4 linked regions of the Saccharomyces cerevisiae S288C genome follow. Changing the gene in region 2 together with the main gene of any one other region gives a genetic interaction. Each region holds a gene or a part of one and is shown on either strand. Other genes may lie near its edges. The genes, in order: STP2, RIM11, ERR1 and HXK2.

What was found.
Region 1: mutations in RIM11 (region 2) and STP2 together harm fitness more than expected from each alone (negative genetic interaction), as found in Saccharomyces cerevisiae (3 studies listed by BioGRID).
Region 3: mutations in RIM11 (region 2) and ERR1 together harm fitness more than expected from each alone (negative genetic interaction), as found in Saccharomyces cerevisiae (3 studies listed by BioGRID).
Region 4: mutations in RIM11 (region 2) and HXK2 together harm fitness more than expected from each alone (negative genetic interaction), as found in Saccharomyces cerevisiae (3 studies listed by BioGRID).

The regions. Positions count from the first base shown.
Region 1 is NC_001140.6:114,167-122,212, forward strand, and holds STP2 (Stp2p), read left to right. Parts: upstream 1-3,647; coding exon 3,648-5,273; downstream 5,274-8,046. Other genes in the region: GPA1 (guanine nucleotide-binding protein subunit alpha), read right to left, coding at 1-751; protein transporter TIM10, read right to left, coding at 1,454-1,735; ERG11 (sterol 14-demethylase), read right to left, coding at 5,925-7,517. UniProt on the Saccharomyces cerevisiae protein: Transcription factor involved in the regulation of gene expression in response to extracellular amino acid levels.
Region 2 is NC_001145.3:542,616-550,067, reverse strand, and holds RIM11 (serine/threonine protein kinase RIM11), read right to left. Parts: upstream 3,944-7,452; coding exon 2,831-3,943; downstream 1-2,830. Other genes in the region: YMR141C (uncharacterized protein), read left to right, coding at 24-332; SIP5 (Sip5p), read right to left, coding at 885-2,354; Arf family GTPase CIN4, read right to left, coding at 4,338-4,913; DNA cross-link repair protein PSO2, read left to right, coding at 5,105-7,090; GAT2 (Gat2p), read right to left, coding at 7,187-7,452. UniProt on the Saccharomyces cerevisiae protein: Serine/threonine protein kinase that is thought to function in regulating kinetochore activity and entry into meiosis. Could phosphorylate IME1.
Region 3 is NC_001147.6:1,077,199-1,084,736, forward strand, and holds ERR1 (phosphopyruvate hydratase ERR1), read left to right. Parts: upstream 1-3,077; coding exon 3,078-4,391; downstream 4,392-7,538. Other genes in the region: FEX1 (fluoride transporter), read left to right, coding at 1-713; HSP33 (glutathione-independent methylglyoxalase family protein), read right to left, coding at 1,347-2,060; seripauperin PAU21, read left to right, coding at 5,520-6,014; YOR394C-A (uncharacterized protein), read right to left, coding at 7,004-7,171.
Region 4 is NC_001139.9:22,056-29,878, forward strand, and holds HXK2 (hexokinase 2), read left to right. Parts: upstream 1-1,879; coding exon 1,880-3,340; downstream 3,341-7,823. Other genes in the region: high-affinity Zn(2+) transporter ZRT1, read left to right, coding at 1-53; FZF1 (Fzf1p), read left to right, coding at 249-1,148; RTG2 (Rtg2p), read right to left, coding at 3,663-5,429; HFM1 (DNA helicase), read right to left, coding at 5,866-7,823. UniProt on the Saccharomyces cerevisiae protein: Catalyzes the phosphorylation of hexose, such as D-glucose and D-fructose, to hexose 6-phosphate (D-glucose 6-phosphate and D-fructose 6-phosphate, respectively).

The sequences.
Region 1 (8,046 bases), on a different chromosome or scaffold from region 2:
TATTCCAAAGTTGCTTTATTGCCTTAGCAATGTCTTCGTGAATAAGATTTCGTCTATTTTGTCCTTGAATTTCCCTTGATGTTTTTCTAACAAACATCTGGTCATCGCCTTCTTGGTTCAAGTCCTTGCAAATATCCTGTAGGTTAATTCTACTACTGTTGTTTCTATCAGCATCCTCATTTTGCGTCACCGTTTCAGCATCTCTGTCAGTGTCACTTTTGACATTAGAAATATTTCCGTCTTCATCGAAAGCAGCTTTTGCTCGTCCGGTACTCTGAACACGCCTCCTAGTTTCATACCTTTCTGAGTACTTCAGTACATAATCATTTAGAAAATCAGAACCACCGGCAACACTGGCGTTGATATAATCTAAAGCTTTAGCCTTTAGCAGTATTCTCTTGCATGCAAACAAATCTTTATTGTTGATCGGATCATCACAGTCAAGTTGAATACCTAGTTTTCTGGCCTGAATAATCAAAATTTTCATTGATTGTATGGCATCTGCCCATATCACTTGAGCATACTGTAACCTTTCTTGATGGGAGAAACCGCCTTGATGTAATAATTTTAATTGTTTTAAAACCGTTGATTTACCTGACTCACCGGCACCTAATAGTAACAGTTTTATTTCATTCTTGTCACGTTGTTTCTCCAGCTGCAACGATTGCTCGATGACATCATTGGCTCTTTTGTTCTGTAGAAAAGGATCACTTTCGTCTCCTATTGTTTGCGTACTCACTGTACACCCCATTATTTCCTACCTTAATATATCAATTTATACACCTCTGGATTATTGATGTGATGCTAAAATACCAATTTACAGTATGAATAGCTTCTACTCAGTTTGGTCTTAGAAATGGTCAAAAATGTTAGAAACGGAGTGACAAGAAAAAATGAATAACAGATCAAAAGATTACGAATAATATAAAACGTAAAGAAATTGGTGGAATTCTACTATCCTCTTCATTTTAGACTATTTTTTAATATTTCCCTTTAAGGAAAACAATATGTAACAAAAAAATTTCTGCTCTCCATTTAATTGCATTTCTACAAGGAAGAATACGCAGAAGGACGCGCAGAGCCCTAAATTGATGTGCTTTTTAACATGCTGAGCCGAGTGCGTTTCGGTGAAATAACACGAAGATGCGTTTCAAATTGAAACTAGTCAGTGTTATCTGCATGAAAAGGGAATATCGTTATGCATTCAGTTTTCCAATAGAGACATTTTTTTTTTTTTAGATTCGGCTTGCTTTATCCACCTATGATCTTGTTTTCAAACAACATGTGCCATGTAAGATAAAAAGGTAAAGATGAAGTACAGAAAAGAGTATAATGTTACTTGTATATACAGGATATGAATCAATAATACTAATTATAACGTTGAGTCGAGTAAAACAGCTTATGGATTTCTTTTCTTATTTTCGTCTTATCATTACTGCTTTAATGCACATTTCTAAAACTTACCGGCTGCGTTAAATGATTGGCCCATTTTCTGCATGTTTTCACCGACTTGAACATTGGTCTCAAAATATTTGGCCACACATCTGTCTAGGCACGAAGATTCATTCTTATTCAGCTCACCCTCGGAATAAGAAGTATTGATACATTTTTTATAACAGTTATTAACCAATTTATTGAACATGTCTGTGACCAAATCTAGTTCAGCTTCCGCAGCTTGAATCTTTTGTTGAGATGATAATTGAGGCTGACCACCACCGAAACCTAAGAAAGACATGTTTTTCTAAGTATGATAGTTCCTTCTTTTGCTTGTTTATCTGTTAAAAGACATGAGAGGGGAACGAGGAGAGTAATAGTTCTTTAGAGAGCTTGCTCTTGTACGTTCACTGCCAGCTCTCTCGCTGAAAAAATTAAAGAAAAAAAATGTCCGATAGCTTCAGAGGGTGATCATCAGCTACGAATTGGGAAATCAATGCAAAAAATGCTTCCAATCGGATTTGAACCGATGATCTCCACATTACTAGTGTGGCGCCTTACCAACTTGGCCATAGAAGCTCTAATAGTGATAGGACCCAGATTATATTTAGTGACTTGTTGATAAATGTTTTAAAATATTACCTTCGTGTCGTTATCGTTACTGAGGAAAGATTTGCAAAAAATAATTACATACTTGGGCTCTTCTGAACGAACAAGTTAACCAAAAAGGTGTATATTACTTCCTCTTGTTTTGTTTCCGGGCTAATGCTTACCTTTCCTTTGTTTCCAATGTTCTTCTTTAACACCAAAACATACTATTTGAGAAATGGGTGAATGTTGAGATAATTGTTGGGATTCCATTTTTGATAAAGGCTATAATATTAGGTATACAGAATATACTAGAAGTTCTCCTCGAGGATATAGGAATCCTCAAAATGGAATCTATATTTCTATTTACTAATATCACGATTATTCCTCATTCCGTTTTATATGTTTCATTATCCTATTACATTATCAATCCTTGCACTTCAGCTTCCTCTAACATCGATGACAGCTTCTCATAACTTATGTCATCATCTTAACACCGTATATGATAATATATTGATAATATAACTATTAGTTGATAGACGATAGTGGATTTTTATTCCAACACTATTTGAGGTTTGGCAACTGTTGAAATTATTGTTAGGACATTGTTAAAAAAGGTTCTTTTATTAGGTCTACAAAAACAAAAAAAGTTTTTTCACGAGGACAGCGTGAATCACAAAGGTGAGGTCAATAGTTTTACATAATAATAAATAACGTTTTTTTTTTCTTCCTTTCATGTGTTGCCTTTCTTTATCCAATTACATTGTCAGCCCTTACATTTCAGTGCCTATTGAATTTGTTGACCACTTCCCATCAGCAATACCATCCTCTTACGCAATATATGATAATATACCCGCGACATAAATATTAGGTTAAAAACAGACGGCAAAATGTGCCTTGGGCGGCAAAATCATGAGAAGCGCACATGTCGTGATATCAATAGCACGGAATTCCAGAAGAGAGAAAATACCAGCACTTATAACAAATGATCACAGTAAGCGTGAAAAAGAAGAGCCTGTTGCTACAAAGAACATTGAAATGATAAAATAGTGAAAGAATTCCAATGAATGGGAATATGGATGGCATTTTGGCAAGAAATTGGGCGGTAAATTTTCGTAAAGCTGATTGATGGTCAGCAAAACTCTCTTCAGAAGAACCAGAGAAATGGGCCAATTCTCACGAAGAAAATTCTTATAGTGTGTAAGCATAGGTAACGATCACGATACCATTAATTACCTGCAGTCAAGAACGAGATTTATTAACTGAAGAAAAAAAACAGACCATTTCCCACAAAAATTGTCGACGTTTAACTTGTGACTGATAGAAAGTTATAAAGTAAGCTATTAATGGAGGTTCTGAACGCATGACATGCTCCTCTAAGGGCTAGAATAGAGATTATAATGTTATTTGAAGATTGAAAGTCTGTTACCCTTCTTAGAGTCATCCATTCGAACGAAGAGTATCTTTTTTTAGAATTCTTATCATTTTTTTTTTCTCTTCACATTCCAATACGGGCAAAAAGCGAGAAAAACGATGATTAATAAATGAAAAACAGTGATTAATCATCCGACAAACAGACAAATGCAAGAGAGCAAAAAGTTGGGGAAGTAAGGAAATCCATTATCATGCCTATCTTATCACTATCTTCAACACGGAACAGCGTGTTAACAAGGATATATGACTACCTTAAAGCATTAGTGCAGCAAGTGATTGTGCCCAATGTGGAAGACGACAAATCTTCGAAAAGTACTCCTTTCGAAAAGTTAGAACCTGCGAAACAGAACCATCCACAGAAAGACTGCTGTGCTACCGAAAAGGACGATCTGGTTGACGTGAGCGAATTATTTCCCAAACAGAACAACAAACAATTGAGTCTAACATCAAAATCTTCAGTTGTACCCTGTGCTTTAAATTTGGATAACCTAGAAACACCTTTCTCAATTAAAATTGATAATAATGGTGCAGTCACTACACAGTTGAACTTGGACGAACCGATTTTACGGGGCCCTAGCCGCGGCGAGCCAGCAAAGTTACAGAATGACTTGATAAGTTCTCCCCCGCTAGAGGAATCCTATATCAATAATGACCAGTACAAAGCTCTTTTCCCCTCTAATTTCCTTCCAATCACGCCCGTAAGTAGCGTAATCACTCCTGCATCGAAGAAAAGTATTGATGAATCTCCCCTATCCGATGAGGTTCAAGGAATTGCTGATGAGTCATCCGAAACTTTACCATATATATGTCACTATTGCGATGCTAGGTTCCGAATCAGAGGTTACTTAACACGACACATAAAAAAGCATGCGAAAAGGAAGGCCTATCACTGTCCATTTTTTGATAATAGCATTTCGCAAGAATTGCGATGCCATACTTCTGGGGGGTTTAGCAGAAGAGATACCTACAAAACACATTTGAAATCTAGACATTTCACTTACCCAGAAGGTGTTAAGCCTCAGGACCGTAATAAATCACCTGGAGTGTGCACTCAATGTGGGGAACACTTTAGCACTAGTGAGAGCTGGGTGGAAAACCACATTGAGGCTGGGAGTTGCAAAGGTTTACCAGAAGGCTATTCAGAGGGAATACGAGAGAAGAAAAAGACGTCTAAAATGAAAATGATAAAGACTTCGGATGGCCAAACAAGGTTCATCTCATCCGACGAAAGTGTTTCCGAACCAGCTTTACAAAATAAGAATTGTATAGAAGCGACAGTAATGCAGTCCAAGGAACGCCCTAATGACAAGATCATACCAACCAAAACCGAAAAAAACGATTTTGGAATAGGCACTCAATGGTTTGAACGCAAACAAATATCAAGACCTACACAAACTACACAATCAAGAGGACCTACAGAAGTCCAAAATCTCAAAGAGTGGTCAATAATATCTCCCCCAATTTTGTCACCCCAAAATGCATCTTCTGTACCACAAGAGTATCAATCATCAAGATACACATTGCATATGGATTCTCCAGCATTATCCTCTGCCTCCTCAGCGCTATCTCCACTTTCAGGCGATCCAATAACAACTACAGAAACAAATAAGTCATACCCATTGGATTCAGAGCAATCGTTGTTGGAGCCAGACAAAACCGAGGAGGACGCAATCAATCAGTCAAAGGAAAGCAATATGATTTCCATTAATGAGATGTTACAGAAGCAAATGGACTTTGAACTTCTGGGTGAGAATCATTTGAAGGAGACTCAAGATTATCTGGCCCTTTACAAAAAAGCTTATGGGATAGAATTTTAAGGTTAATTCAGGTATTATTTTTATGGCGGTTTCAGGTATTTTACGTAATATTATTATTATATCATTTTTGTAGCAATATATTATTTTTAGCGGTGCTTTATAAAACAATGGATACTAAGGATGGTTCAATTCACTCATCATTTGGATTTATCACTATAAAAAGCAGTAATGAATCTTATATACATTTATTTCAGTGAATCCATATTTAAGAGAGCTTCCTCAGTGACCCCTCCCCAAAACTCCTCTCCTCCTGGGCCCTCTCTTGATTAATTTAAATTGCAAAAAGATTTACAAGTTTGCGAAAAGACTGCTTTATTTCCGCTTGGCCTGTGAGCTGTGTGTTCTCTCTTCTAATCCAGTAGGCATGTTGCATAAATAAACCTTATATTTGATGTTGTTTTAGAAATGTAATCTATATATAATTTCGTAGTATAAATATTTATAAATAAAGAAGTGAAACCATACCACTCATAAATAATGCGGGATGGTTGTCCAAGTTTGAAAGTAACTAAAGAACATAACTCGATGTCATATCAAACGTACTGGCAAATAAAATAAATCATTGGAGATGGATGAGTGTGGCGATAAGGCCCACGTGAATGTACAACTTCTCTCTTTTTCTGTTTTTTTTTTTTTTCTCAGTTACAAACCTTAGATCTTTTGTTCTGGATTTCTCTTTTCCCAGATGATCTTGGCTGGACCGGTTGGAAGAGTAACCATAGATGTAAAGTCAGGAGGTGGAACGGTCTTACCCTCTGGGTAATGCCATTTTAATGTTCTGATAAAAATGGACATTAGAACACCTAGCTGACAGTAAGCAAAGTGTTCACCGATACATCTGTGTCTACCACCACCGAAAGGTAAGTATGGAGAGCTGACACCCTTAGAAATGGCACCGAAACCGTAATCGACTTCTTCACCGACGGAATAAGAGGAGGCAGAATCTTTGTTCCAACGGTGAATGTTGAATTGGTGAGCATTAGGGAAGTATTCGTCTCTTAAATGAGTGTAACCTGGAGAAACCAAAACGTGATAACCTGCTGGGATGACATAAGAAGTGTTTGGAACGTGCATATCTTTCATAACCTTACGGAACAAAGAGTGCAATGGATGGTGCATTCTTAGAGTTTCCTTAATAGTTTGGTTCAACAATGGCATTTCTTGTAATAAATCGTAGGTCAATTCCTTCTTACCACCATCCAAAACACGCATTTGTTCTTCGTACAATTCTTGTTGGACATCTGGTCTTTCAGCCAAGTGCAACAAAATCCAAGCAGAAGTGGCAGCAGAAGTATGTTGACCACCCATTAAGACACCAATTAACAAGTTAGCGATTTCTTGATCAGTCATCTTCACACCATCCTTGTAGGTAGAGTTCTTCATCAAGGAATCGATCAAATCTCTGTCTTGAATGTCGTTGTTCTTTCTTCTTTCCTTAATCAAAGACATGTAAGTACCGGAGATAGCCTTTTGAGCGTGATCTCTCTTTCTATAGTGTTCCAATGGTAAGTTAGGGAAGACGAAGTTGATTGGAGTGAAACCCTTATCCAAATCACTGTACAAGTAAGCAAAATCGGTATCCAATTTTGCTCTCATTTCCTTACCCAATAATGATCTTGAAGCGGTGAAAATAGTCATTTCAGGTTGAGTAACCATCACGTCAATAGTACCAGTAGTTCTTTCATTCAAACGGAAGTTTTTGGAGTCTCTGAAGTACTTGTACACTTCTTCAGCAATCAATGGAACGTAGCTCTTGAAGGCTTCTTTGGTTAGAGCACCCTTAACAAACTTCTTTTGCTCCATCAATCTAGAATTTGGACAATCGTAAATAACACCTTTACCGAAAACTGGAGTAGTCAAATGAGCGTAAGCAGCTTCTGCTGAAACATCTGCCAACTTAGCGTTGAAGACAAATTCGTGACCCTTTGGTCCTAAATACACAGTCATGACTCTTCCTAACAAAACGAATGAAAAAATATCACCGTATTTCTTTTGACATTCTTCGAAAAACTCGTATGGCTTCATACCGTACACAACAGCACTACCGACCCATGGAATCCAGTAAAACACTAGAGGTGGACGGTCCTTTCTCAAAGAATATAGTAATTGCCATACAATATTGTAAATGAAAGGAATTATTATGATCAAAGAGATTCTTTGGGCCAATGGTAAAGCCAAGAAATGACTTAAACCAATGTTTACGTATTCCAATGCCTCTCCAACGATTGACTTGGTAGCAGACATCCTTGTATTACTCGTTTGTTCTGTTTCTATTCAAGCCTGCTGCAATTGTGAAGGAAAAAAAATTTTTTCTGGAAACTATTAATTAATATAATGAAAAATTATTACTTCCTATCGAAAATACACACGCTGAACGATACTGCTTATCAATCTTTTTATAAATAATTTACCAATAACGAAAAGGGAAAAAGGAAAAGGGAAAAAAAAAAAGACATTGAAAGAGAGAATTAAGAGGGAATAAGAAAACTAAGGGAAAATACGCTATCTTATATAATGAATACACATGGAGGGCAATTTTTAGAGGCTTTTCGAATACATGCGAGTACGTAAACGTCGTTAACTCGTGGAGATGCACAATAGGATGTGCTCATACCAAGAAAAAAAAAAAATTCAGGCATAAAATCGATGTCTCCTGCAAGATACCTACCACACTTATTGTGTTCTGCAAGAGACTATTGTCATCTGAAAAGCGATTATCTTGAAATCTTAGTTTCGTTTCGTTTCGTTTAGGGCCAGCGCTTCGTTTGTCTCG
Region 2 (7,452 bases):
ATAAACATCCAAAGCGCATACTGATGTCACGCACTGACACAAGTGAGAAGAGAAAAGAAGATTTTATATATGTGAGTTTGAATATATACCTATGCGTACGTTTATATATAATGCATTTGATTTCTTCGAACACGCCAAAAAGTCATTGTTCAGTCAGATTTCTGTGTTTCTTCCTTTCAGCACTAGCAATTACCTCAAATCGAAATTTCTTTAGACCTGAAAAAATGCCAACAAGAATATTCTGTAATGACACATTGATGGTATCGCCCAAAACTGAAAAATTTCTGGAACGGTTTACCAACCAAAAATTGGCTAAGCTGGAGGTGAGGTAGATGGTGCTTTTTCTGCGAACATTGCAAGCATATAAATAGAGAAAAGAACTCCTACTACAGTTTGAGTGGTCGAACGGAAGGTCGTTTTTAACAGTCTCTCATCTATAAAGACTGTACGCATATTTGGAACTAACTGCTTAATTATGTGAACGCTTCTCTGATATCCATCGTCTATGTGCTTCTATCCATAAAAAGGCGAGAAAAGAGAGAATGACATTGCTCAGTGGCGGATGCGGGATGGGAATCTTATATTAGTTACTACTAAAATTCAAATGCAAATTTGAGGTGAAATACTTGAACTCTCAATTCTTGAGGACGAACAAAACAAAAACTTTCTAGAGCGGGAAGAGCTTGCAATACAATTAACTGTAAAACTTCTCTCTCTTCACAATAAATGTGACGATATTTCCGGATCATTTTGTTTAAAGCCAAAAGGAAGGTCAGGTTGGTGACGCTCCGTTAGATATAGATGGAACAAAAGAAAAATAGTGCACTTCTGGAACGTTTGAAAAAGGATTTTTTTAATATTGTAAAAAATGTCAAACTGTGATGCTATGGTCTCAAAGAGGTGTTTCTATTCTTTGATTTTTTTCGGTTGTCCTGATCTTCAAGGCTTAACCTAATAGCCTCTCTAACCATTTGATCTTCAAGTTCGTTTATTGTCGGTTCAGGAGATCTTGAAGCTGACGTACTTTCATCATGAATAGGGGTTATACTGTGACTTGTATTTCTCCTTCTGCTATGGCTTGGATCGATCAACCTATTACTTATATGTATAGCGGTGGCATTCGCGGATCTCCTCATCAACCTTGCCCTTTCTTTGTTCAATTTAATCTCCCAATCAGGACGAATGGTATCCGAAGTAATGGCTGATATGTTTGGCTGACCGCCATCAGCTCTTGATATGGCGGCGTCCTTATACACGTATGAGTCGGCTGGCATACCCCCTATACCAGTTTCACGATTTGTGGGTGGTTGATAAGTGATGCTAAAACTAGCAGTTGCACAGTAGGGGCAATTTGCTGGCTCAGAGGTAAGAAGATTTGGGTCCTTTTCACTGTCATTAGTTTGTGGTTCAGTTGGGTCTACTTCGTCATGAGGGAAGTGAGGATCAGCTCTCTTAATCTGTACAAAACACTCGGTACAAATAGGCTGTTGACAACATTTGGAATAGTTGAAAGGCCCTGGAAAGTATAAAAAACAAATAGGGCATTCCGACCCATTTTTGTAAAGAGTATACTTCAAATCGTCACTTGGTAAATGGTAATTTTTCCTTGGCTGGCTACTGGTATTATCTTCAACATTGCTGGACTTGCTGCCAATTCTTTTCATTTCCAATTTCCTCTCCAAAAACGTCTCATTTTCATTTTCTTGCCATAAAATTCTTTTCTTATACAATCTTGCTCTAAAAATCTTTGCGTGCATTCTTCTCTGTTCCTTCTTGGATAAAGATTTGTCTATTAATTCATTAAATGTTGACTTCCTTAAATTGCCTATCGGTACGTCTTCGAATTCTTCCAAATTTTCATCGAACGTGTCATGCAAGGGCAATCCGTCAACAATTTTTATCAACTCATCTCTAGTCCAACTTTCATCAAAATCCTGCAAAGGAGTGTAAAACGGCGCTAACTTTCTTTTGATTATTAAATTTTTAACGACAGTAGCATCATAGTCCAACTTTTCAAAAGAATAACAGCCAAATGGGGCCAAAAACCCCCCATCTACAGTTTCGCTACACCTCACAACCAATTGTTTAGCATGTGCCTCTTTAGCAAGCTCTTTTTCCCGTGACGTCTTTCTTCTACTAGTGCTGGATAGATGAGAACCAGTTTTTGTACGAGCATTATTCCCATTTAAAATATTATTGACCAAAGACGTCGTGCGTCTCGTTCTCACCCTTGAAGAGGCTTCTTCATCATATTGTTTGATGACAGAATTCGATGATGTAGTATTATATGAGGAATCTGGCCTGACATCATTAAAACTATCTTCCTGGTCTATTTTCCCTGGAACATTACCCATGGTTTGTTTGCTACTCTGGGTTCGGTTTATACTAGCTAGATTATTTGGTTCTAAGGTGCTTCTTCGTTTACTAAAACACCCACTACATCAGCTCGATGATGAACCTTCACTTGCCCCTTTATACTCTAAAAACCTTGTCGACCCATTTAAGGAAGTTGTTACCCGGTTAAAGTAAAGGTGTCATTAAAATAGTTTCGTACTGGCAAAGAATACGGCTTTTATACATAATTCGAAGTGAAATGGCATAAAAAAGTTACAATTTATTTTGGCTTTACCTTATTTTTTTCATAATTTGTATTCATTATAACAGTAATGATAACATAATACTGTTACTACTAATAATGATAAGAATATGATGGTAATACAAAAACAATACTCATAATAATAACAGTAATAATAGTACTAAAAAAAGACATACGTATATATGTTCCTTCCTTCTCCCATTATTCTTGCCTGGGCTCCCTCCGGTGCTATCATTACTTAGACTTCGGATATAGCTTTTTTTTTACAGATGATAGTTCATCGGGAGATAGATGGCCCAATTCGACATTTTCATCGAACTCTAGCAATTTTAAATCAGTTGTTATTTGATTTATTTTACCGTCATCAAGTTTTAGTTCATCAAAATATGGACTACACAGGCATTGTAGAGCATTAAATCTTTCTAGTGGATCATATTTCAAAACGTCAGCTAGAAATTCCACAGTTTGATCATCTTCTTTCTTGAAAACACGTGACAATGGTATTGGTTTAATTTGCGGGAACTTATGCTCCATATAATTGGGATTCATAGAGCAAATTTCTTGCTTTGATGGAGTACCTAAGATTTTAATGATTTCCACTAGTTGATCAATACCACTTTCTCCAGGGAACATTGGTTGGCCCAATAGCAGTTCCGCCATTACGCAGCCAGAGGACCATATGTCGATTTGGTTGGTATAATTTGTTGCGCCGAAGATTAGCTCTGGTGCTCTATAGTACCGTGAACAAATATAGGAAACGTTAGGTTCAGTAGGTTTCAATTGCTTTGCACTGCCGAAATCGCACAGTTTTAAGGACCAGGTCTCAGGATCTACTAATAAATTTTGAGGCTTAATGTCTCTATGACAGACGTTCGCGAAATGATGGAGGTAATTCAATGACTTGAACAATTGAAACATGTAGTACTTTATTTCCAATCTTGACATCGGCGTACGTTGATGGACGAAATGACGTAACCTCTGGTACAAAGATTGTGGCATGTATTCTAGTATCAAATTTAAATAAATCTCATCTTGGGAGTCCCTTTCATAGAAAAAGTACTTCAGATCTATTATATTTATGTGACTCAGCATTTTCATTATTTCCAGCTCTCTGTTCTTGAATCGTTTATCTTGCAGGACTTTCTTAATAGCAACTTTTTCATTAGTTTCTTGAATAACAGTGGCAAATACCACACCAAACGAACCATGCCCAACTACTTCGGTGGTAGGGAAAGATATCTGCACCGGATCATTCGGGTCTATCGTAGGTGGAGGATGGGCGTAGTAAACCTGTTTTGACACTATGTTATTACTGAGATTCGGAGAATTATTGCTTTGAATATTCATCCTGCGCGAGTTCTAGCGTTGCGTGATTAGTGTTGCCGTGTTGTAATGTAATGCTATGTCAAGATCTTGCCCAGTAATGTGTGAATCAGACGTCGGTGGTTGGCTATTCTGGAAAAAAAGGTGTTAAAATGCAATGCGCCAGAAAGAAAAGGAAATAAGACAATGGCAACGACCGATTGGAAATAATCTGCTGGTCTTCCTACCACTCCTTCTTGTGTAAGATCTTCAATGGACCCGTGCTTTGTAACCCGCAAGCCTTACAGAACCCCTTGGTAGTATTATTATCCGGAGTGAGCAGAAGCCACGAATGCGCACAGTCGGCGGGTAATGAACTATCACGCTATAAATACTGACATTATTTAAAGTTTTTATATGGTGCTCACATCTTAGACGATTATTGGGTAAAATGGCAGGATTCCACCAGACGGTCACGCAGGTTATCAATACCTTCTCCGGTAACGCCACTACATTTGACGAGCTCTATTCGGATGTCCGGCTTGAACAGACACTTCAACTCGCTCTCTACCAGTAAACACCTTCGATGAAGCTCGGACTTGTCCTCCACTAAATCAATCTTGTTCAACACAACGATAACAGCACACTCGTATCCTATTCGATTTTCGTCTCTATTGATTAATTCTTTTAGTTCTTGCAAGGTTTCGTCAAACCGCATTGAAAGGCTCACATCTATACACCATATCATCGCTTGTGTCTTATCAAAATAGTTATCCCAAAATGGCCTTAATGTGCGTTGCCCCCCAATGTCCCATAGAGATATTGTCACATCTTTTATCATCAGACTATGTATTTGAAAACCCACAGTAGGCATTATACCATCGTTATTTTGCTCATCCTTGGGCAATAGTTTGTTTACTATCGTTGACTTCCCCGAATTGTCTAGTCCTAGAATCAGACAGCGAATTTCTTTGTCCCTGAGCTTCTGTTTCCTGATAATACTTAGTAGTCCCATGTATTCTTCTACACCTTAAGCTTCCCTCTTATTATCTTTATAAATTAGTGCGATGGCTTTTTAGATTTTGTCATGGAAACGGACTGAAAAAGTACTAGTAAAATAGCAATATAAACATAATCAAATACCTGCGTCAAAACTCATGTTAAGCAGCATACGCACTAGTGACTAATTTGGGTGGTCGGTTGATTATGTCAAGGAAATCTATAGTGCAAATAAGAAGATCTGAAGTAAAGCGGAAACGAAGTAGCACCGCTAGCAGTACAAGTGAGGGGAAAACTCTTCATAAGAACACACATACATCCTCTAAAAGGCAGAGAACTTTGACAGAATTCAACATCCCAACTTCATCGAACTTACCTGTCCGTTCCAGTTCATATTCATTCTCAAGGTTCAGTTGTTCAACATCCAATAAGAATACAGAGCCAGTAATTATTAACGATGACGATCACAATAGCATTTGCCTTGAAGACACTGCAAAGGTCGAAATCACCATAGACACAGACGAGGAAGAACTAGTTAGCTTGCATGATAACGAAGTCAGCGCAATAGAAAATAGGACCGAAGATCGAATAGTAACGGAATTGGAGGAGCAAGTAAATGTTAAAGTCTCTACAGAAGTTATTCAATGTCCTATTTGTCTAGAAAACCTTTCTCATTTAGAATTGTACGAAAGAGAGACACACTGTGATACTTGCATAGGCAGTGACCCGAGCAATATGGGAACACCTAAAAAGAATATCAGGAGCTTTATTTCTAATCCATCATCTCCTGCAAAAACGAAGAGGGATATAGCTACGTCAAAAAAACCAACAAGAGTAAAACTTGTTTTACCAAGTTTCAAGATAATTAAGTTCAATAATGGCCACGAAATAGTTGTGGATGGTTTCAATTATAAGGCCAGCGAGACTATCTCTCAGTACTTTCTTTCTCATTTTCATTCTGATCACTATATTGGACTCAAAAAATCTTGGAACAATCCTGATGAGAATCCGATCAAGAAAACACTTTACTGTTCTAAGATCACTGCAATATTAGTAAATTTAAAATTCAAAATTCCAATGGATGAAATCCAAATTTTACCCATGAATAAACGCTTTTGGATAACAGATACCATTTCAGTAGTTACGTTGGACGCTAACCATTGTCCCGGTGCAATAATAATGCTTTTCCAGGAGTTTCTGGCAAATTCGTATGATAAGCCTATAAGACAAATTCTTCACACGGGGGATTTTCGAAGCAACGCCAAAATGATTGAGACAATTCAGAAGTGGTTGGCCGAGACAGCGAATGAAACTATTGACCAAGTTTATTTAGATACAACATATATGACTATGGGATACAACTTTCCTTCACAACATTCTGTGTGCGAGACTGTGGCTGATTTTACATTACGGCTTATAAAACATGGTAAAAACAAAACATTTGGAGATTCACAAAGGAACCTTTTTCACTTTCAGAGAAAGAAAACATTGACAACTCATCGTTACAGGGTCCTATTTCTTGTGGGAACATATACTATTGGAAAAGAGAAGCTAGCCATCAAGATATGTGAATTTTTGAAAACAAAATTATTTGTTATGCCGAATTCCGTTAAATTTTCAATGATGCTAACAGTTTTACAAAACAACGAAAATCAAAATGACATGTGGGACGAAAGCTTACTCACCAGCAATTTACATGAATCATCCGTACATTTGGTACCTATAAGAGTGTTGAAAAGTCAAGAAACCATAGAAGCTTACTTGAAAAGTTTAAAAGAATTGGAAACAGACTATGTGAAAGACATTGAAGATGTTGTCGGGTTTATACCTACCGGGTGGAGTCACAATTTTGGTTTAAAATATCAAAAGAAAAACGATGATGATGAGAATGAAATGAGTGGCAATACAGAATATTGCTTAGAACTAATGAAGAATGATCGAGATAATGATGATGAGAATGGGTTTGAAATCTCGAGTATATTGAGGCAATACAAAAAGTACAACAAATTTCAAGTTTTTAACGTACCATATTCTGAACACAGTAGTTTTAACGATTTAGTGAAATTTGGTTGTAAATTGAAGTGTTCTGAAGTCATTCCCACTGTGAATCTAAACAATTTATGGAAAGTGAGGTATATGACGAATTGGTTTCAATGTTGGGAAAACGTTAGGAAAACGCGGGCGGCTAAATAAAACAAAAAAGGAAAACAAAAAAAAGAAAAGGGGGTAAAAATGTGTTATGTAAGATGTACGTACGTAATGGATATTATATGAATGTATGATTTTATATTATTGCAATATCGTATTATACTCAGAGTCCAACGTTTGATCATTATCCATATCATGAATAAACCTGTTTGGAATAGTGATAAAATCAGGAATTCTACGATCGTTGGCTAAATCAATAGATCTTCTATATCTTAACAACAAATTACTGCTTTTTGAGCCAAATTTCTTGGTGACTTTCCTATAAAATAACCCACAGGCATTACACAAAGTTCTTGTGCCATATGGTCCCTTTCTCCATTCTGGAGTCTCGGTCTCCCCGCAATGGA
Region 3 (7,538 bases), on a different chromosome or scaffold from region 2:
TTATGGTTTCCATGGGTAGTCTTATTTTCGGTAGGCAACTTGGTAAGGAGGTTATTGTTGCTTATGGATCTAGTTCGTTTTCGAAGCCATATACCCCTCCCTCAGACACTGTAAAGGAAAATGCTGGTGATGTTGATACACAAGAAATGGAAAAAAATATTCTAGAGTTTAAATTCAAAACTCCAGCACCATTTTTTAAGAAATTTTTTGATATTGTGGATAAACTCGCGTATGCACTAGCTTTTCCATTAATTATTTTGTTTGTGGTGCTGTGTGCGTATTATGAGAACTATTCGAGGGGCAAGTGGACACTACCATGTCTATTTGGAATTTTCGCTGGTTTCCTAAGATATTGGTTGGCAGAAATGTTTAATAAAACAAACAAAAAGTTTCCATTGGGTACTTTCTTGGCAAACGTTTTCGCCACTTTATTGATTGGCATATTTACCATGGTGCAACGTGGTAAAAAACACTTTTCTACGGACGTTCCAATTGTGAACTCGTTGAATTCATGTCATATTGTTTCTGCGTTAATATCCGGATTTTGCGGCACTTTGAGTACCATTAGCACGTTTATCAATGAAGGGTATAAGCTATCATTTATTAACATGCTTATTTATTATACTGTTTCGATTGCAATTTCATATTGCTTATTGGTGATAACTCTCGGATCCTATGCTTGGACTAGAGGATTGACCAACCCGATTTGTTAGGATCTTTTCTTTATACTTTTCCCTGCATAATCATCCCACTTTTTTTTTTTTTTTTTTTAATTCATTTTCAAGATTTTAGACGTTGTATAATACATTTTTACCCACTACTGCGGTTTATTGTAATATTTTGTGAGATTTTATGAATGCGTTCCATCATCTATTTACTACAAAACGATAAATTTCCCCGTTTTCTTTTACTTTTACTTCATTTAATATAATTCATATTTATTTCCCATGTACCAATTAATTACTCATAAAAAGAACAGAAATAGAAAAAAGTTGTATATAACAAGCCAAAAAAAAGAAAAAAAAAGGAAAAAAAAGAAAACACAGCTTATTTCAAATTGCAATCTGCGTATTTCGTAAGTAACGAATGATCTCACAGCATTGCTTTTTTTTTTTTTTATATATATATGTACATTACCTATGTCACATATGACCATGATGAATACAACACTAAAAACCAAGGCCTACTATTCAATTGTTCTCTATATGATTTCCATTCTAGCAAAATCGAGTGCTACCGACCTGCCGTTTTCTTTACCTTTCGAACCATTGAGCTGTTAGCCTTCTCTTCACAGAAACTGAAAGTCATTAAAAGCCTCCCCTTCAACAATTCCCTTGTCTTTTGTTTCAGCTATATAATGCGTTTATAGCTCTAATTGTGGTCGAATAGGAAGAATTTGCGTTAACACCCGTAACTAGCTTTCCATCTGTAATAGAGTAGTCATCCCAGGGATGGATTGGCGCCAAGTACTTGGCTCCATTCTTGTTTGCAACGCGTTCAACCGTTGTCAATTTTCTGCTCCTCAAGATGTCGTCAACTCCCAGGGCGATTTCACCCTCGAGTGGGAAACCTGTTATAGCTTTGCCTTCGATTAATGGTCTTGTTGTTTTGATATCTATTAATCCATCGAAAAGGAGCGGTCCATGACAGATGGCAGCGATCACACCCCCATTGGCATATATCTTGGATGCAATATCTTGCAGATTTTTAGCTTTGGGATAGTCAAATAGAGCACCATGTCCAGCAGATGCAAAGAATACTTTATAGTCGCTGGCGTTGACTTCATTTGCGGTCTTGATCCTCGCTAACGCCTTATTGAAGGCGGAATTTTTCGTTTCAAAGTTCATCTTATCTTCGCCACCAATAAAGCTCTTTGGCAAGTAATGTTCATCCCAGCCAAATCCACCAGTCTCAGAAACGAAGTCCACTTCGAAACCATGCTTTTCGAATGTATCGAACGATCGCAAAATCTCAACTACAAAAACGCCTGTTTTCGCACCATCTTTGTAGAAGGGACCGTGGTATGAAGTAAGAGATATTAGCGCTCTTTTTGGAGTCATTGCAAGGCCAGTTTTCTTTTTGAATGAAGGAGAAAAGTGTTCTAGAAATATGTTTTAGTTCTAAGTATCGTTGTCTGGAGCAAGCAAAGAAAAGCAGACCTGTATGTGCAACTTTCCTGTTTTCCATTAAAATCTCAAGAACCGACCCCTTGACTGTGCTCATATATCAAGTATCGGTTTTAAAGTCCCCTAATTGTGATAATTGCAAGAACGACAGTCAGAAAGATATTTTTTTTTTTCTTTCTCTTTACCTATCCTCCATAAAAATACCTATGCTGATACTGAATATCTTCATTTGCAGCTATGCAATATTTCAGATACCCCATTTTACCCAAGAGTTTCTTACTGGTGGTTGGATTTTCTTTAAGACGAGAAGATTACCAGTCCTGGATGTTCGTGAATGTGCCTATTGCGTCATCAGCGACTCCGCGCCAAGAAAAGAAATACTCGCATGCTCGGATTTATAGAATCGCATAATGGAAATACCTTCCTTAAAGGATGGAGATAAGGAAAAAATGACAAGAACAAGGAAGTACTTGGGAGCTTTCTCCGACATGGTAAATATTTGAAACTCACGCAGCTCTCCTGGAAAGTTGGATCTGGAAAGGTAAGGTTGTTTTTTTTACAGACATCAACCAAAATCGGTTCTTGTAGTAGACAATGTCACAGATCGCCACAAGTTGAAAAAAAAGTTTCGATGAACTGGATAAGGGGAGAGGTCACAAACAAAGTGTAGGGGGTGAGTAGTATAGTGGTAACTTGTTCATTTACCTAAATAACATTCTCACTAGAAAAGAGATATTGAAAGACTCCTCGTTTACCTAACTTGGCTGGTTCTTAGGTATATAATAGAAACATGGATCTGGCAGGTTATCACTTACAGTTTGCACTCCCACCAGGTTACAATTTTCATTATATATAGTTATTTTTTACCACCACTTCTTCTTCTTTCACTTTGTCTTGCAATAGAAATACCAAAACAAGGTGAGGAAAAAATCGAATCTCAACGATAAAAATATGTCCATCACGAAGGTACATGCTAGAACGGTGTATGATTCTCGCGGCAATCCGACTGTTGAGGTTGAAATTACAACAGAGAATGGTCTCTTCAGAGCGATCGTCCCATCTGGTGCCTCCACCGGCATTCACGAAGCTGTTGAACTTAGAGACGGGAACAAGTCCGAATGGATGGGAAAAGGGGTGACCAAGGCAGTCAGTAACGTCAATAGTATCATAGGGCCTGCTTTAATCAAGTCCGAATTATGTGTAACCAATCAGAAGGGCATAGACGAGCTCATGATATCGTTAGACGGAACTTCTAACAAGTCAAGGTTGGGCGCCAATGCTATCCTTGGTGTTTCCTTGTGCGTTGCTCGAGCTGCTGCCGCACAAAAGGGAATTACTCTCTACAAGTATATAGCCGAGTTAGCGGATGCTAGACAGGACCCCTTTGTTATTCCTGTTCCTTTTTTCAATGTTTTGAATGGTGGAGCCCACGCCGGTGGCTCTTTAGCTATGCAAGAATTCAAGATCGCGCCAGTCGGGGCTCAGAGCTTTGCAGAAGCCATGAGGATGGGTTCGGAAGTTTACCATCATTTGAAGATATTGGCGAAGGAGCAATATGGACCTTCCGCTGGAAATGTTGGTGACGAGGGTGGAGTTGCCCCCGATATTGACACTGCCGAAGACGCCTTGGACATGATTGTGGAAGCCATTAACATATGCGGTTACGAGGGTAGAGTGAAAGTAGGAATCGATAGTGCTCCTTCTGTTTTTTATAAGGACGGGAAATACGACCTAAATTTCAAGGAACCGAACTCTGACCCATCTCACTGGCTCAGTCCAGCCCAGTTAGCAGAATATTACCATTCATTGCTAAAGAAATACCCAATCATTTCCCTGGAAGATCCCTACGCCGAAGATGATTGGTCCTCGTGGTCTGCCTTCCTAAAGACTGTCAATGTTCAGATTATTGCAGATGACCTGACATGCACCAACAAGACCAGGATCGCCCGTGCTATAGAGGAGAAATGTGCGAATACTCTGTTGCTGAAACTCAACCAGATCGGTACTCTGACTGAGTCTATTGAAGCCGCCAATCAGGCTTTCGATGCTGGATGGGGTGTAATGATATCGCATAGATCAGGTGAAACCGAAGATCCGTTTATCGCTGATTTGGTCGTTGGTTTAAGATGTGGTCAAATTAAATCGGGCGCTTTGTCGAGATCAGAAAGACTGGCCAAGTATAATGAACTTTTGCGTATCGAAGAGGAACTGGGGGACGATTGTATATATGCTGGTCATAGGTTTCATGATGGAAACAAACTATAAAGGATTGTCTTGTTTCCTTTTTTTTTTTTTTTTTTTTGTTTTTTTATGACTAAATAAAGTAAATCATATGAGGTTTTATTTTTTATTTCGTTGATTTGGGTTACAGTATGGAAATGGGGCATTTGACACAAGTTATTTTATTCATATGTTTTATCTTGTAGGAAATCAAACCGTTTTTAAAGTTTTCCATTGCCTACACACAAAATCATTACGAATCTGTCTGAACAAGGGTGGACGTGTGGGGGAAGGCTGTTCCAATCAAGAAATGCTTACAACTCTACTAACACTGCAGTTTTTCAGCTTTCTGATTAATCTCTTCGGTTTAAATTTTTTAGCAGCTATTACTTTCTAGTAACCCTTATAACGCGGTTGGTATCAAATCTTCCTGATAGTACAAGCAGACCTTTGACCCCATTCTTGTTGTGTCTTGAAATCTTTTTTTCTGACAAAAGTAAGAAGTTACACCATAATAGAGAAGTTAAATAATGAAAGTGTATCGATCATAGAAATGATTTTATTTTTTTCAACTACTGTTACGGTCAAGAAACTAATACTGAGGATAAGTTTTCGCAACAATGATTTTGGTACAAGTGATTTAAAGTCTTGAATTACTTCAACACAATTTGCTTTGCGACGGTTTAGAATAACGTAATCGTATCAACGAATCCACTAGGCGCGCGTAAAAATTACAGACTCTAACAATATACGACTCCCAGCACATACCTACTATTCTGTACAATTCCGGGAAATAGGAGGGTACAGTATTATTTTTTCTCGGCGATCGTTTAGGGTATACTGGAGATAGGCTTAGCAATACGCTTCTGAACGAGGATCTATAGCAACTAAATTCAGACATTCTGCTATACCAAAAAAGGAAGTATCACAGGCACGGAAAAGGGTTTTATAAGGCACCTCGGCACCCCTATAACTGGCATTCTCACATTCGGCGCATACGAATAGACAAAGGCCCCAGAAAACAATACCTTCGCATACAGAATCTATAAAGATGCATGCCTCGTTTAAAAACAAAAACATCTTCATAGTGATCATGAAGTTGTGGGAAAGATGAGATATGGAGAATATGTGAAGTGCTAAAGGAGCATCTGTTAACGAATCGTTTAAGTGGTGATGACCAATGAAGGAATAGGTATAAATAGAGATACTTCAACTATATGCCTTCGAGAATATGTCTTTATTCATTTCTTTCCTGTTAAGCTTATATCAGCACTAACAAACAAAACAAATACAATGGTCAAATTAACTTCAATCGCTGCTGGTGTTGCCGCTATCGCTGCCGGTGTTGCCGCTGCTCCAGCCACTACCACTCTATCTCCATCTGACGAAAGAGTCAACTTGGTCGAATTGGGTGTTTACGTCTCCGATATCAGAGCTCATTTGGCTCAATACTACTTGTTTCAAGCAGCTCATCCAACAGAGACCTACCCAGTTGAGATTGCTGAAGCTGTTTTCAACTATGGTGACTTCACCACCATGTTGACTGGTATTCCAGCTGAACAAGTCACCAGAGTCATCACTGGTGTCCCATGGTACTCTACCAGATTGAGACCGGCTATCTCCAGTGCTCTATCTAAGGACGGTATCTACACTGCTATTCCAAAATAGAGAGAAGCTTTTACGAACGAAATTCCATAGACATTAAAAAGTAAAGAAAATGAAATAAAATATGTTATTCTATTGATATAAATACAATTTCTCATATGTAAATGTATATTAATATGACAACTCATTTTTGATCAATAACAGTGTTTGTGGAGTATTTTCTCAATACAATAAACCCAAAATAGAAACTTCTCTTTTGCGTCACTGTTCTGGAAAAGGGTGCATGGTAATAAAGCTAATAGGGTATGTCCAATAAGCAATACTGAACTTGGAAATGTGCGGCTTCGCAGCCTTTTGTCTTTCTATAAAAATGTGTCGTTCCTTTTTTTCATTTTTTGGCGCGTCGCCTCGGGGTCGTTTATAGAATATGCGTCACTTTTAAAAATAAGATTGCAGATCAGGGCAAAACAAGTAGCAAGTCATAGCAAGAGACCCTGATTTTTGTGACATAAATATTATTATTTCTTTGTTAGGTTAGTTTTTTATGTAACTGTAACTGGAATAGAGTTGAGGGGATAGCGCCCACATGTGTGTGAGCCACTACCGTATTATTGCTCGGTGAATAAAGAGTGTCACAACAATGGGATGACATAATATTCTAATGTGAAGTCTGTGTAAGTACGAAATATTCTGAAGTGGCATCCGTTCAAGCAAATGGGAATATTAAGGAACTTTTACGTTAATGACGTCATGGTAGTGCTCGTACTTCAAGTCAATATGTTTATGTATTATTGTTGAAGAATGGAATATTTTTATGTTTAGGTGATTTTGATGGTGATTTTTTGGTTATATTAACATAAGTGTATATAAATTAAGTGGTTAGTATACGGTGTAAAAGTGGTATAACGTATGTATTAAGAGCAGTTATACAATATTTGGGGCCGCCGAATGAGATATAGATATTAAAATGTGGATAATCGTGGGAGTTATGCGTAAATGGCACAGGGTATAGACCGCTGAGGCAAGTGCCGTTAATAATGATGTGAGTGCATTTAGTACTGATGAAGTGAGAGATGGGCCATGGAGTGGAATGTGAGAGTAGGGTAACTTGAGATGATATATACTGTAGCATCCGTGTGCCTATGCCATATCAGTATACAAGTGAGGGTGGATACGGCATGTGGTGGTAGGGTAAGTATATGTGTATTATTTACGATCATTTGTTAACGTTTCAACATGGTGGGTAGAACAACAGTATGGTGAGTAGCGGATGATGGATGGTAGGGTAATAGTAGGGTAAGTGGTGGTGGAGTTGGATATGGGTAATTGGAGGGTAACGGTTATGATGGGCGGTGGATGGTAGTAGTAAGTAGAGAGATGGATGGTGGTTGGGAGTGGTATGGTTGAGTGAGACAGGGTAACGAGTGGAGAGGTAGGGTAATGGAGGGTAAGTTGAGAGACAGGTTCATCATATATATGTCACTGTATTGCATGCTGGATGGTGTTAGACAAGGCCGTAGGGACATATAGCATCTAGGAAGTAACCTTGTACGAAAATAGGCAATATTTCCTGTTTAGGCGATTGTG
Region 4 (7,823 bases), on a different chromosome or scaffold from region 2:
TATGCACTCTTTTCGGTGCTGGTATCATGGCTTTGATCGGTAAGTGGGCTTAAACCAAAGCGAAATTCTGCATGTTCCATATAGATTCTATTTCATATTTTATAGTTATTTATTCTTTAGTAATAGCAAAAAAACAGTAATAATTTTTCTTTAACAGTCTCGGACAATAAATACGCTAAAGAAGATGAAAATGACAACTTTTACGCTGGTGTGCACAAGTGGTACCAGAATACGTGGCCACCAAAACAATGACGGATATAGGGAGAACCAAGTCTAGAAATTACAAATGTTCTTTTGACGGTTGTGAGAAAGTCTACAACAGACCTAGTTTGCTTCAGCAACACCAAAATTCGCATACCAATCAAAAGCCGTATCATTGTGATGAGCCGGGATGTGGCAAAAAATTTATAAGACCGTGCCATCTACGAGTTCACAAATGGACTCATTCACAAATCAAGCCCAAAGCGTGCACATTATGTCAAAAAAGATTTGTCACAAATCAGCAATTAAGAAGGCATTTAAATAGTCATGAAAGAAAAAGCAAGCTTGCATCAAGAATTGACCGTAAACACGAAGGAGTGAATGCGAATGTGAAAGCAGAACTCAATGGCAAGGAGGGAGGTTTTGACCCAAAATTACCTTCCGGCTCTCCAATGTGTGGTGAAGAATTCTCGCAAGGTCATTTGCCTGGATATGATGACATGCAAGTGCTACAATGCCCATACAAATCATGTCAAAAAGTTACCAGCTTCAATGACGATCTAATAAATCATATGTTGCAACATCATATAGCAAGTAAGCTTGTTGTACCATCTGGAGATCCATCTCTGAAGGAATCGCTTCCAACCTCTGAGAAATCCAGCAGCACCGACACTACATCCATTCCACAACTTTCATTTAGCACTACTGGGACAAGCAGTAGTGAAAGCGTTGATAGCACTACGGCACAAACCCCAACTGATCCAGAGAGTTACTGGTCGGATAACCGGTGCAAACATAGTGATTGTCAAGAGCTTAGTCCATTCGCATCTGTATTTGATCTCATTGACCACTATGACCACACGCACGCCTTCATTCCTGAGACGCTGGTAAAGTACAGCTACATTCATTTATATAAGCCTAGCGTCTGGGATTTATTCGAATACTGAACGCCATAGAAGAGCAATTTCCGTCCTCTACTCATGTGATTCGAACTATGAAACAAAGAAAAGGCAAGAGTAAATAGCGTGATACCTATTACGTATTACGTATACATCCTATTATTCTTGAAAAAAAGTGCGGGGCTCCAGAGCTCCACATTGGTGACCCCAGAGTATACTGCTCTTTCTAATGCCTTTTCCATCATGTTACTACGAGTTTTCTGAACCTCCTCGCACATTGGTACCTAGAAATGGCTATCATGCCGGACGGCACCGGGCAATAAACCGGACGGCACAAAAAAATCGAAGAAAAGAGATTTCTTTTTCTCGCGGGCAGTTTTTCCGGTCGATCGACATTCGTACGGTACTTTCTCTGTTTCAGGGACATCATGTTGTAAAAGAAAAAGACAGTTTAGGTAATCGTTCTTTTCTTTCTGAAAAATTTTCCACGACGACGACGACGACCACGAAACACCTTTGATTGCGAGATCCACGAAATTACCTCCTGCTGAGGCGAGCTTGCAAATATCGTGTCCAATTCCGTGATGTCTCTTTGTTGCACCTTCGCCACTGTCTTATCTACAAAACTATAAAAAAGAGTAATCCTACCCCATATCTAAAAAAAATTCCTTAACTTTTATAACTTAACTTCAAAGTTTCTTAATATTTTTTCGCTTTTTCTTTGAAAAGGTTGTAGGAATATAATTCTCCACACATAATAAGTACGCTAATTAAATAAAATGGTTCATTTAGGTCCAAAAAAACCACAAGCCAGAAAGGGTTCCATGGCCGATGTGCCAAAGGAATTGATGCAACAAATTGAGAATTTTGAAAAAATTTTCACTGTTCCAACTGAAACTTTACAAGCCGTTACCAAGCACTTCATTTCCGAATTGGAAAAGGGTTTGTCCAAGAAGGGTGGTAACATTCCAATGATTCCAGGTTGGGTTATGGATTTCCCAACTGGTAAGGAATCCGGTGATTTCTTGGCCATTGATTTGGGTGGTACCAACTTGAGAGTTGTCTTAGTCAAGTTGGGCGGTGACCGTACCTTTGACACCACTCAATCTAAGTACAGATTACCAGATGCTATGAGAACTACTCAAAATCCAGACGAATTGTGGGAATTTATTGCCGACTCTTTGAAAGCTTTTATTGATGAGCAATTCCCACAAGGTATCTCTGAGCCAATTCCATTGGGTTTCACCTTTTCTTTCCCAGCTTCTCAAAACAAAATCAATGAAGGTATCTTGCAAAGATGGACTAAAGGTTTTGATATTCCAAACATTGAAAACCACGATGTTGTTCCAATGTTGCAAAAGCAAATCACTAAGAGGAATATCCCAATTGAAGTTGTTGCTTTGATAAACGACACTACCGGTACTTTGGTTGCTTCTTACTACACTGACCCAGAAACTAAGATGGGTGTTATCTTCGGTACTGGTGTCAATGGTGCTTACTACGATGTTTGTTCCGATATCGAAAAGCTACAAGGAAAACTATCTGATGACATTCCACCATCTGCTCCAATGGCCATCAACTGTGAATACGGTTCCTTCGATAATGAACATGTCGTTTTGCCAAGAACTAAATACGATATCACCATTGATGAAGAATCTCCAAGACCAGGCCAACAAACCTTTGAAAAAATGTCTTCTGGTTACTACTTAGGTGAAATTTTGCGTTTGGCCTTGATGGACATGTACAAACAAGGTTTCATCTTCAAGAACCAAGACTTGTCTAAGTTCGACAAGCCTTTCGTCATGGACACTTCTTACCCAGCCAGAATCGAGGAAGATCCATTCGAGAACCTAGAAGATACCGATGACTTGTTCCAAAATGAGTTCGGTATCAACACTACTGTTCAAGAACGTAAATTGATCAGACGTTTATCTGAATTGATTGGTGCTAGAGCTGCTAGATTGTCCGTTTGTGGTATTGCTGCTATCTGTCAAAAGAGAGGTTACAAGACCGGTCACATCGCTGCAGACGGTTCCGTTTACAACAGATACCCAGGTTTCAAAGAAAAGGCTGCCAATGCTTTGAAGGACATTTACGGCTGGACTCAAACCTCACTAGACGACTACCCAATCAAGATTGTTCCTGCTGAAGATGGTTCCGGTGCTGGTGCCGCTGTTATTGCTGCTTTGGCCCAAAAAAGAATTGCTGAAGGTAAGTCCGTTGGTATCATCGGTGCTTAAACTTAATTTGTAAATTAAGTTTGAACAACAAGAAGGTGCCCTTTTTCTACTTATGTGAACATGTTTTCTATGATCTTTTTTTTTCTTACTTTTACAACTGTGATATTGTATAAACTTTGTTAGAAATTCACGGGATTTATTCGTGACGATAAATATTTATATAGACAAAGAATATGACGATTTATGAAATCTACATGATTTTAGTTTCTTTTAACAATTGCTCGTTTTTTTCTCTTGCTTAATTTTAAATTTTTTTGGTAGTAAAAGATGCTTATATAAGGATTTCGTATTTATTGTTCAAGTATTTAAAGACTAGATGTCTTTATTCTTCATAAAATTGCACGCCAATTTTAACCCTCTCTACACTTCCTCTAGATAGCTTGCGTACTTTCTTTTGTAGCGTGATAATTCTGGAACGAACGGAAGCACTTGTTTTAAGATCGTCCTTACTAATTCTCACAACCACTTCATACCCGCGATTTTTACGCGTGGATTCTTCTTTTACCTTTGTAGTGTTTGCATCATCAATGATTAATTCTTTTAAACTGGTCTCCACCTCACTACGCTTAGAAACATGGAAATCAAATACGTTATCTCTGATATTACCACCTGGATGAACACCGCAAATCACATACATAATCGTACCAATATACTTCGTCCACCATACAATTCTCAATGCTTCAGCTTTATCACCTTCGCGTAGAACTACTTGTTCTAATTCTTGGGAGTATTTTTCTTCAGATTCCGGAATGTTGCCGCCCCATCTACTACATAGAGCAATTCCTATCAGCGCTCTAGCTCTGTGAGATAATCCATGACAGCCGGCTATTATCCCTCTTGTAGCAACATGTAATGCAGCTGTTGGTTGTAACTCCTTTGGATAAGAGGCATGAACAAATGCTAAGTTACATAAAGCAGGAGCAATCCTTTCGTTTACTATTTCTGGTATATCTTCTTGTGGGATTGATGTTCTCAATAGATATAGATATTTTTCAGTAAGTAATGGAGCATAAGGACGGGACGCAATTAGCAATGGATCTTGTGCACGAATTTCTTTTGGAAGAAGAGAATAAAGTGAACCCTCTCGAACACCACCCTCACTAAAATGTACAGCTTTGATCTGGGGAATCGCTTCAAAAACAGCACTCATGAACAAACCAACGGCAGGAAGTTGTAAAGCCCTTCTATCAGAAACCTTAAATATTTTATGCTCTTTTGAAGAACCTGGTATTTTTTGTTTTAGGAATAGATAATCTGACATAGACGAGAATTCTTCATAAGTGCAAGCATATCCGTTAATTATTGTTTGGATGGGATAACCTTCCGACTGGTAAAGAAGCAGATGTCCCATACCTCTTAAACCACCCCCACGGGTCCAAAGGTCAAATCCACCTTCTTTCTTGGCGTCATCAATCATTTCTTGAGGTATACCAATTTTTTCAATCGCATCTTTGTACGCTTCTTTAATCTCATAAAAAAGTGCCCTATTATCATCTGTTCTCATTCTTCTCAAAAGAGTTCCAGCTCCATATGGCAAAGATACAGGTTTGCTGGATTGCTTGACTTCTCCGTGCGAGCTTATTACCCATGATAACTGAGTACTACCACCTGCCACATCTAGATATAGACCTCTTACTGTATTAAATGAGGAAACAACACCATATATGCCGACCCTAGTTTCATCTTCCTGGCCTAATATTTCTACTTTCCAGCCAGTGCTACCGTAAACAGCATTAACAAATTCATCCGCGTTAATAGCATCTCGCGTGGCTTCTGTTGCAATTACTCTGACACTAGTTTCAGGTACACCAAAATCATCGCAAATTAATTTGAATCTCTTCATGGCAGAACAAACCTCTTTTATAATATCTCTGGGAATAGGGCATTTTGCGTTCGTATGTGTATTATATTGAACTTCGTATAGAGAAAGACCAACCCTATCTTTAAAAACACAAGGCATAATTCTTGCATGATGTGCAGCCTTGGAAGATATACTAAAACGAATACCATTAGAACCTATGTCGACGATTCCACACAAGTTTCTCGACACGACCTCAGTCTCGGTATCACTATCGCTAAGTGTTGACATTTGTGGCACGCCTACACTTTTCGTTCAAAACAATCCTTAGTAAAGGACACTTCCAAGAGTGAGTTTCTTTTTTAAAAGGTACATATGAATGAATTACTAATCTCACTTCGATTCTTTCAATTGATCTAGGAACTCCGCCGGCAAAGTTATCCTATCTCGGCATTCTGACCCGGATCGCTTATCGCGGTCATGTGACTAATAATTGAAATGATAAATAGCACGATATGTAACAATAGTAATATATCAATTGACAATGTCATCTTGTTCCCTAATAAATAGTAAAGGTTCCAATTGTTTCACCACTGGCTGCATTTTAAAAACAAAGCATTATAAGTAAACTCTCACACATGCTAACTTCTGTTGGGAAGCAATACAAATAACAGAAAGGATTGGGGTAATGAATATCAGTAATGTCTATTGTTCCCGGCCATGCCGCTCATTCAAACTCTATATCGGAACCCAAGAAATCCAGATCACCATTCGGATCACTTATTGAGCTCGCCGCTGTATTACTAGAATAACTATCGGATGATTCAAGATCAATAGGAATTATTTCAGGGCAGTTTTCGGGGCCTGATTTTAGGACTTGTTCACCCGCTTCCATAGACGACATCTGTTGCGATAGATTATAAATTTTTGAAGGAAGTGTATGAACTGTCGCAATATCTGTATTTTCTTCTTGCCACTGCTTTGGTTTACTATTCAGTCTTTTTTCCAGGTGAGGGGTTGTGTTGATATTTTTTGCAAGCAGTGGCTGGCGTATTTGATCAGGTTTTGATACTGGCTTGATTGAGGAGGGTCCTTTTTCTTTTATATACTTTACTGGAATACCCTCTTTACAACATAAATGTCTGCATTGCGTTTTGTCTTTGCAGCTATGAAAACACTCGTAATTGCCATTAGATCTTACTTGGCGGCCATTACTAAAATGTGAAGAAGAGTGTGCCTCCGGGTGAATAACTGCTGCAGATTCAACCGCCTTTGATGATTTCTTCCTTTCATTCAAATAATCTAGTATACTATCATCTGAGGATAGCGATTCTTCTAATCCATCTTTATGGGAAACCCTAGACGTTTTCCCCACTTCTCCGTCACTACTGCTTTCATAGAAGAGGCATTTTTCTAAACTATTTAGATCTTTCCTTATATTTGGTGTCTTCGCAGAGAACTGTGATGCCAAATGATCAGTGGAATATACGATTGTTTTGCCGAGTCCGGCGATTTCTTGGCAATGAATTGAGAATTCTATTTTTTCTAGTTTTGGTGATATTTTTGCTGAAATTCTAAAGCCCCTTGGTGACTGTAGTTTGTTAACTTGCAATCTTCTAAAGTCGATTAACTCTCCTGAGCTTTTCTCGGTTTCGATATCTAATGAGAGGTGCTGACCATGCCAAATGCTAGACTTGAATGTTGCACTAATCTCAACTTTAAATGTCAACCACAACTCTTCATTTTCTATTTTGCAATTTTCTAGTTTTGTTCTAATATTCAGACAAGGCAACAAAGAAATGTCGTTTTTAATTTTTATGCCGTTTCCAATCTTGAGGTTAAGATAGTATTCAATCTGAGTATCTGACAAATGCCCCATTTCTTCTAGATTGGTAATTCCATGTCGTATTAGCCTTCTTACTGAAACTAGTCCAATTGTTTTCAATTGCCTAAGAACCATTGGCGTGTTTTCCCAGCAGTGACCATTCAGGCTTCGCAGTAAGAACAAAGTATTTTTCAGTGATGTTCCATCACTTTTTTCAATAAATGTGTCTACCATGCATTTTAGTAATCTAAAACAATGTCTAAAAACGAGGAATTTATCCTGAACAAGAGTTTGATGTAGTTTAGAAGCGCCTTCGTATGATGGAAATTCTAACCCACCTAACTCATATTGAATCAAAAGAGAAACCTTTTGACTAACCCTGTCAATTATTTGGCTCTGTTTCTTCTCGGTTAAAAATGGATATTTCAAAAGTGGCGATAAATTGATTTCTTTGAACAATTTTTTTTCATTGTGCCTCACCCTCATAACTGAAAACTCTTCAGAAGTGGCCAGTAAATTTAGTATCCCTTGTAATGATAGAAATTTTTTTGCGTTAATGAATTGTTTCATCGACTCAAAGGATATATAATGTCGCGTCATTGCATTTCCGTACGCTGTAGATTTGTACTCCCCATTGCTGATATCGATTATTTTCACTTTTACTAAGGTGTCAAGCAAATACTGACAGAATTGATTTATCTGAGAGTCTTCAACGGAATGAAAACTAACGTATCTGTTCACCTCTTGATATGCAGCTGGATTCTTCCCAAATCTAACGTAAAAGAATGTGTTTCGTAGCCAATTTACTGCAGTTTCAATTGAATATACAGTTTCCAAAGAGGTTTCTGCTGCTAAATGCT